Linked DNA regions of Canis lupus familiaris. The main gene of each other region encodes a partner of the protein of the gene in region 2 in a complex. Links are inferred from orthologs where the notes say so. Each region holds a gene or a part of one and is shown on either strand. Other genes may lie near its edges. The genes, in order: NAP1L1 and UBE2O.

What was found.
Region 1: the proteins of UBE2O (region 2) and NAP1L1 are in contact, whole or in part, in a cryo-EM structure (PDB 7UN6), measured with the Homo sapiens proteins. The link is inferred for Canis lupus familiaris from reciprocal best matches to the Homo sapiens genes UBE2O and NAP1L1. Residues at the interface, in NP_071349.3 of Homo sapiens: Ser225, Asn226, Val282, Lys283, Pro284, Val285, Lys289, Ser290, Lys291, Phe292, Arg293; in NP_001317160.1 of Homo sapiens: Arg333, Arg337, Thr343, Gly344, Glu345, Ala346, Ile347, Asp349.

The regions. Positions count from the first base shown.
Region 1 is NC_049236.1:19,274,168-19,277,977, forward strand, and holds part of NAP1L1 (nucleosome assembly protein 1-like 1), read right to left. Parts: intron 3,669-3,810; coding exon 3,540-3,668; intron 2,583-3,539; coding exon 2,511-2,582; intron 1,698-2,510; coding exon 1,558-1,697; intron 934-1,557; coding exon 788-933; intron 693-787; coding exon 673-692; intron 1-672. UniProt on the Homo sapiens protein: Histone chaperone that plays a role in the nuclear import of H2A-H2B and nucleosome assembly.
Region 2 is NC_049230.1:5,155,191-5,159,575, reverse strand, and holds the start of UBE2O ((E3-independent) E2 ubiquitin-conjugating enzyme), read right to left. Parts: upstream 2,815-4,385; coding exon 2,404-2,814; intron 1-2,403. UniProt on the Homo sapiens protein: E2/E3 hybrid ubiquitin-protein ligase that displays both E2 and E3 ligase activities and mediates monoubiquitination of target proteins. Negatively regulates TRAF6-mediated NF-kappa-B activation independently of its E2 activity.

The DNA.
Region 1 (3,810 bases), on a different chromosome or scaffold from region 2:
GACGCCAGGGTGGCTTAGCAGTTGAGCATCTGCCTTTGGCCCAAGGCGTGATCCTGGAGACCCGGGATCCAGTCCCATATTGGGCTCCCTGCATGGAGCCTGCTTCTCCCTCTGCTTGTGTCTCTGCCTCTCTCTGTGTCTCTCTCATGAATAAAGATTTTTTTTTTTAAATCTGCCCAACAGAAAAGCAAATTCAAAACACATACCTAGCTTACACCCTTGCCTGCACAGACTTCTTTGAGGTTATTCCTCATTCCAGGCTGTAACACAGGCACTAATAAGTAAGCTCTTGGCTATGGGGTCACATAATTCATGGCCACAATATGAAAGCGTGTTTCCACTGGAGTAACAAATACAGAAAGGATTCTAACCAGAATGTGGTTAGGAGTAAATAGTCCAAATGACTTAATACATCCGAGTTTCAATAAGAAAACTATCATCTTAAGAACCTGAAGCCCCCACAAGCCTCAAAAGAAAAGTCTTTAGCCTTTCAGCATTTCTCAGTGAAAGCACTCCGTGCATTTTGAATGAAATAATTTCAGATGGATACAGGTCTTCTTCATGCACTGCAAGCCTCAGGTGAGTAGCAACTATCCAACTCCCCACATCTGAGAAACAGTTCTTTAAATTTCACAGTGAACAATTCAACAAATAAATAACGATTTAACTTACCAAATCTCCACTCTCAGGAACTGCAAAATTGAGAAAAGGAATTCAAATGAGTAAGGAATTTTTAAAAAGCTTACAATAAAACAACCATCAATACCCAAACTAAGACACTATTTACCTTCAGGTGGGGCAAAAAAATTAAAGAAAGAGTCATTGGAAACTGTTTTGGTCACAGTACGAACTGTCCCACGTCCCTTGTGTTTCTGCTTCTTCTTAATGGTTTTCAAAGTGACATTCTTTCCTTTTTTCCAATCTATCTGGCACCTTGCAAAACAAAGGGAAGAATCTATCACAATTAACATACTACACTTAATTGCTGGAAGAGCTAAGATTTATCCAATCGAATGTTATATATTTTTTTGAGATTTTCTTTTTTAGAGAGCGAGAGCACTCTTGCACATGAACAAGGGGAGGACCAAAGGGGGACAAAGTCTCCAGCAGACTCTGGGCTGGGACACGGGGGCTCAATCTCACAGCCCTGCGATCATGACCTGAGCCAAAACCAAGAGACGCTTCACTGAATGAGCCACCCAAGCACCCCAAATATTATTTGTATTACCAATTTTAGGGGGGGAAATTGGCTCAAATGCTTTCAATAGCAATACATAAAGAGGAAAATTTTATTTCTAAACACATTTTCTCAACAAAATTATTGACAAGTAGCACAAATTCACAATAGAGTAAATTTAAGTGTTCTCCTTTGCAGAGATGTCTGCAATACCATAAGCCAAGGAGTTCTAGGAAAGTAGGTATGCTTGTCTAAGAAACACTTTTCTGAAATGTTTAAACTATGTATCAAATACACACTAGGAAACACTAAATATCACAAATCGTAAGTAAAACAATAAGACATAGAATATTCTGTGAAAGTAGTAAAATTAAACTCACCCTGTACAACCCATAATTTCTGGTCCATCAAAAGAAAAGGGATCAGAATCATCTGGTTCTGATCTCATCCTATAGGTCTTTGTCAATACTTCATTTGTGAAATATTCATTGGGTTCAAAGTGAAATTCTAAGACAAAACTCTTAAAAAAAAAAAAAAAAAAACTGATGAAACTCCTGCATCATAAATGTTCATGCTTTATTAAGTGAAATTTAATCTATTGATTTTTACAACCACATAAAGTAGGTGATAATGCCTTTTCTGCTCCGGGAATGGGTCAGATAAACCCCAAATTATGGCAAAAAAGCAAAACAAAGCACAAAATAAAACTAAATAAAACCTAGCTCAACTTACAACTTCTATTTAGTAGCATTTTTATAAATAGGTTAGAACGAAATAAACTGACCTAGTACTCCCTCCTCCTTTCATCCCTACAAAGACTTTAAATCTTCTCCTACCCCAAATGTGACAGAGAAATAGCCCAACTTTACTACACACGATAGAAGAAAGAATCTATAGTCTGTAGTAGCTTTGCCCATACTTCACATAATACTGATGATTTTAGGAGAAGCTCATAGCTGATCTTTCATCATGGGGAAGTAGGGGGCCTCTAACATCTTTTGTTTCATGTAATTTCCAGACACACACCTTTTAAGACAGAGTAGGTATTCAGGGTGCTATTATTTTTTTCCTTGCTATCATTTTTATCTATTCTTCATCTAGACACAAGGATTTACTATATTTCAATAACAGTTTTATGTTCAGAGGGAGGAAAAGGAATAAATACTGTATCATAATTACCAACACCCAAACATTTATTTCCTAACAATAATTAAGAGTACCAACTTCTTTCTCACCATTTCTAGGCTTAGAATATCACTTTTTAGAAAGTTCCATATATCTACCTATAAATGTCTAATGTTAAAAAACTAAAAATATTTCAAAGTTCTTTTACCATAGGCTGGCCAGCATCTGAGAACTTCACTTTAATATCTTTCAAGTGCTTCAGAATAGGTTCGTCGTGTTCCTGCAAATTAAGAAAACTAAAATGAGAATCTAACGTAGCACTTCAGGATTAGTGTGCTACCACTGGACAATAAACATTTAGGTGACTGAGACATTTATATAGTGAGGTAACAATTACAAACCGTAAGACCTACTCTCCAGATTATGGTTTTATACCAAAGCTATAGTTTACTTATAAGCTCTACTCATTTCTACTGCCAATGGTAGAAAAAAAGTGACTTAACAGAGAATTATATCTATCATCAGACCGAATGGGCTGAAGAACATAAAACCAAGTCTAAGGCATATTTGCTTTAAAAACATTTCCTTTTCCAGCTGCTTCTTATTCCTTTCATTCTGCTGGGTCCTTCTGTACTTTGCCAAAGTAGAAATGCAATAAGCAGTCACAGTTTTGAGATTTCTTTTTCTTGACTTCTATCACTAAAGTACACTAAAAGTACTATAATGCAGATAATAGTGGCTCAAGAAATGCATCTGATTACAACAGGTGAAATTTCCCTGAGAAGGTGACATCTGTGTTGGATTTCAAAAAAAAGTGACAAGGAGTAAAGGAGTTAAAGGAGTTAAAGATCTTTATGTTATTCCTTTAAAATGCAAATGTTCCTCAATATTTGTTTCAGACTGAAAAGGTCTTTTTGGTAAGATAAATGAAATTTTAAGTTTCCTCTCTCCACTCTCTAATACCAAGCACCTAAACAGAGAAGACACAAGACTAAACAAAACACTGCTCAATGATAAACAACTGTCAAAGGGACTATTTCAGTATCTAACTTGAAAATGAACTATAATTTGATTACAATAATCGAAGATGCAATTTTCCTTCTACAGGTAACAGTTTTCAAAAGACAGCAATCATTCTGTAGAGGTCAACAATGGAGTGACTAGTCATCATACCCATTTAAATTTCAAAGGTTTTTACCCTTTGAGGTAAACTGATGTTTTTAATGAATAAAATTACCTGAACCATATCACTGAGCAAGTCAACATTCTTAAAAACAGTCAACCAGAATTCAGGAATTCCCTTGGGGTCTTCTTTTTCTTCATCCTTTTTCTCATCTTCAATCTTGGCTTTTTCTTTTAGCTCCTCCTAGATAAATAACAGCATAAATTATTGAATAACTAGATTAGATCACTTGATAAAATCTTACCATCTCCTAACTTACATCCAGTGATGAAGTACAGAAACCAGCAAATCCTCAATCACCAACTGCAATTTTCAAACAAGTTCT
Region 2 (4,385 bases):
CTATCAGTAATTAGGTCCTTAAATCTGATAACCAAATTAGTTATGGAGCAGGAATCAGAACCTAAGTGGTCAACTTTGGTCTAATGGTCTTTCCTTTACAGCACCCTGACACCTCCATGGATTTATAAGGGGTGAGAAATGAGAAGAAAAAAAAAAAAATCTTCCTACCACTTCCTAAAATGCAAGGTCCCGGGGCCCACCCTACCACCCTAGTCGGGGTCACCTGTGCCTAGGCTTCATGGTAACCTATAGCCACCTATCAGGCATACACACCTCCACATTCTCCAAACCTAGTCTTAATTCCTAAAAGAAGAACTGGGTCTTAACATCCTCAGGTGGATACTATGTGCCACCACTTCCTGGAGTTCCTATGCCCCTTAGCTTTTGATAAGCTCAGAAGCTACAGACACTACAGTGGGAAAGAAAACACCACCACCACCACTGGACTCACGATGGATTTCAACAAATTCAAAGCCAATCACAAGAGGGCAGCTTCAAAATATATCCAAGCTGGTACCTAAAAATTACTTTCAATTTAATTCTTAAATCGGTATTTTGAGTCAAACTTTGAATAATCACACACGGTGGGAGGAGGCAGACAGAGCATAATTGTAAATAAAGTTAACCACCAAAGTCAAGATGAACAGGAACAACCACTGATAAACATGGCAGCTCCCGGCAGCGAGCTTGGCCTGCCCGCCCGAGTCCCAGGGCAGGAGGCCATGACACAGTGAAATGAGTTGCATTCCAAAAGTCACAAACCTCTGGAGAAGATGGTTAGGGAATGACATTTCTCAAAAACCCACAGAAAGACATGAGCAACCATTTGTTAGTAAGGCAATGCAGAAACACTAGCAAAAATCTTCTCTTTCCCACACAACAACGCTGGTGGTAATTTTTAAACAAGCCTTCCGCTATAAAAAGTACTATTTTCCACATACTTTTGCACACGAACTTGTAATTTTCTTCCCGAGTCAGAGCAACTAATGCCTGATTCGCGTTTCTCTGAGGGGAAGCCAGGGGTCCTGGATGCGGATCTCCCTGTTCTGTGGGTGCAAACGCGCTGGCAAGGAGGAAGACCCTGCTCGTAACAACAGTCACTTGCCACCAGGAAGTGGATCACAGGCTCTTCCTGGGAGTGGGGCCTTTTCTCCTGCCAGAGCAGTGATCACAGACCCCCCTCTGTAGTATGGCAAGAAGCCCTCCCTATTCCTCTGTGGCCTTTGTCTCCCAGTGTATGAGAAACCCAGATTAACTTCTCAAGTGCCCTCCCCTGAAATCAGACCTGTCAACAGCCCAGGCCTGATTCCTGCTTAGAAATGTTTTCTTGAAGGGGAGAAGGAGGAGACGAAGAAGGGGTGAAAGATACAGGGGTGTGTGCGTGCATGTGTGAATCACTGATAGGAACTCACACTCAGGAAAACAAGACAGAAGCAGCAGCCGCCAAACCAACCTTGGTTCAAGGTTTCAGGTTTAAGACGATAAACCCCTTTGTCCTTAAAACTGTAATATTCACCAGCCTCACCCCAAGGGCCCATAAGGGGGTCTGATGTTTGCTTGACACCTCAGGTCAGGAAACAACCCTCGCTTTCCAAACGGGGTGGCTCTTCTCCATCCAGGCTTCTATAGTAATTTTTTTTTTTTTTTTCAAAAAGTCCAACTGCACTTGGGAGTCATCAATCCCAGTCGCAGCTGTCACATCCCCCCCACCCCGTACTATTAATATCACGGCTCTGATTGTTAATGATTTTACTCACAAAGTTCCCTGCAGCAATTAAGACGAGGCAACAAGGTTAAAAAAAAAAAAAAAGAAAGAAAAGGAGGTGCGGGGTCAGGTGGGGGGCGGGAAGGGGAAGAGGTTGGTTTTCTCCGGCCATAATAACGCATTCTGTCAACTAGGGAACTTCTTGGGTTTTTCTATGCCGCCGGAGAGGCTCATCTCGATCTTTGTTTTGGAACGCCCACAGCCCTTGCCCGTCCGGCCCCGGCACGGCCTGCCTTTCCGGATGCACAATGCAGTAGGCAGCAACTCGGGGGTCAGCGAAACGCCGCACTGGTGTGATCCGAGCGTGCCCCGGGGCCTCACGAGTTCTTCCCCCGCCCCCCCGCCCCGCTGTAGTGGGTCCCCGTAGAATGCTGAGGCCCAACCACCGCGCCGCAGGGCGTGGAAGTCCCTCCGCGCCGGGAAGCCCGCGGCCCGGCGGCCCGGCGGCCCGGCGGCCCGGGGCTGGTGCAATGACTTTGCACCGGAGCGTCCCCTCGGCGGAGGCTCGGCCCCGCGCCTCGGCCCACTGCAGCTGCACCACTCCGGCCAGCGCCTCGCGAGCCTCCCTCCCCGGCCTAGGGCTCCTGCGGCAGCCCGGGCCCCGCGCCGGCCCCCGCCCGCCCGCCCGCCCGCCGCACCTTGGTCTCCTTCACGTGCTGCTTGACGCCCTCCGGGTACCACTGGACGCGCACGTAGCCGCGGCGCAGCGGGCTGGCCCGGCCCTCCTCGTGGCCCGCGCCCCCCGCCTCGGAGCAGCCCGAGCTCCCGCGGCCCTCCTCCTCGCCCTCCGAGTCCGAGTCCTCGCCGTGGATGAGGCGCACCAGCCCGAAGTGCACCGAGCCGCGGTAACGGCCCGACACCAGGTCGTGAGAGAACAGCAGCCGCTGCGAGCCGGCTTCGGGGCCGGAGTCCGAGGACGGCCCGGAGGCCGAGTCCGGGGCGGGCGCCGGGGCGGGCGGCGGGGCGGGGGCCGCGTCCGGGGTCGGGGCCGCGTCCGGGGCCTGGGCGGGAGCCGGAGCTGCGGGCGCGGGCGCTGCGGGATCCGCCATAACTGCTCTGCGCGAGTCTCGGGCGGCGGCGGTGCTGGCGGCGGCGGTGGCGGCGGCGGCGGCGGCGGCGAACGCGGCACGGAGGGGCGGGGCCAGCCGGCGCGGGGGCGGGGCCACGGCGCGCTGACGTGGCCTGCGTGCCGCCGTCGTCAGGGAGCCGAGATGCGGTTGCTAGGAGCTCTCGCCTCGTCGCTAGGGGACGCTGGAGATGCCGCCGGGGGCGGGGGAAAAGGTGGGCTCCGCGACGGAGGGGCGGGGCCAGAGGGGGTGAAAGCAAGGGGAGCGGGGCCCCTGGGTGGGGACCCGGAGGAGGAAGTGCGGGGGGCACCTAGGCAAATCAACAACGTTTAACGAGCCTGCTAGGCGTCCCCAGCCCAGTCCTACGCGCTGGGAGGGGTCAGAAGGAGCAAGATGCCGGCCCTGTCCTCTAGGTGTTTACAGCCTAGTTGGGCAGACAAAACATATGCCTATTAAATAGCTAAAAAGCAACTCCAAGGCAGCTTGTAAGCAAGGCTACAAAAGATATGTATAGAGTGTATCTAGGAAATTTCTATGCAGAGCCTGGAAGGTCATGATCCCTCGGGGAGGGGTCAAGGGGTTGGTGAAGGAGGTACAGAGAGAGGTCAGAAAGATAAGCAAGCATTAGTGGCCTCTATGGTTTGGCTTTAAACCCACCTAGAGGGGCTCCCAGCTCCATGAGTTTTACTTAGTATGCATGGCAAGAGGTGGGACAGTGAGTGAGGAGTGGGAAGCTGGGTTCCAATTCTTTTTTTTTTTTTTTTTTAAGATTTTATTTATTCATGAGAGACAGAGAGAGAGAGGCAGAGACACAGGCAGAGGGAGAAGCAGGCTACATGCAGGGATTCGATCCTGGGTCTCCAGGATCACTTTCTGGGCTGCAGGCGGCACTAAACCACTGAGCCATCCGGGCTGCCCCTGGGTTCCAATTCTTGTTGCTGCCACTGACTAGTCTTACAAAAGTAGGGAAGCTGATAAACTTCTCTCCTCATCGGTAAAATCGGCGTGATAATAGCAGTACCCGGTTCACTGGGCAATTGGGAGGATTGAAGGAAACAGAACAGTGCCTGACATACAGTTCCCTCCATAAAGCTTAACCGTTCCTATAATACTTCTGCCCTCCTTTCCTAGACTAAAATTCTAGACAGACAGAACTGTTATACTTCGGGTTTGCTCCATATTGCCATTTTGAAATATAAAAAGTAATTATACTAATGTGTCCCTTAAGGAAGTTCCAAAAGATTTAGATACATTCTCAGAGGACAGATTCATAATGGGTTGTTAGAAGGAAATTAAGAATACTCAGGATATGGCCCTAACCTTTCTCAGTCAAAATCATTTTATCCCCACATTTTTCTGCAAGACCATCCATGAGAAATTAGGAAGACGGTTCAATATTATAGTATTTGGGTTCTTGTAAAAAGGCAGGATTCCTGTTCTTTGGGTAGTATACAGACTACTAAGGCTACAGAACCACACTCCTGGAAAAGTCATAAGAACATACATGAAGCACAGATGGCAGCCTGAGTAGATAATGTGTCCTGAACCAAGCA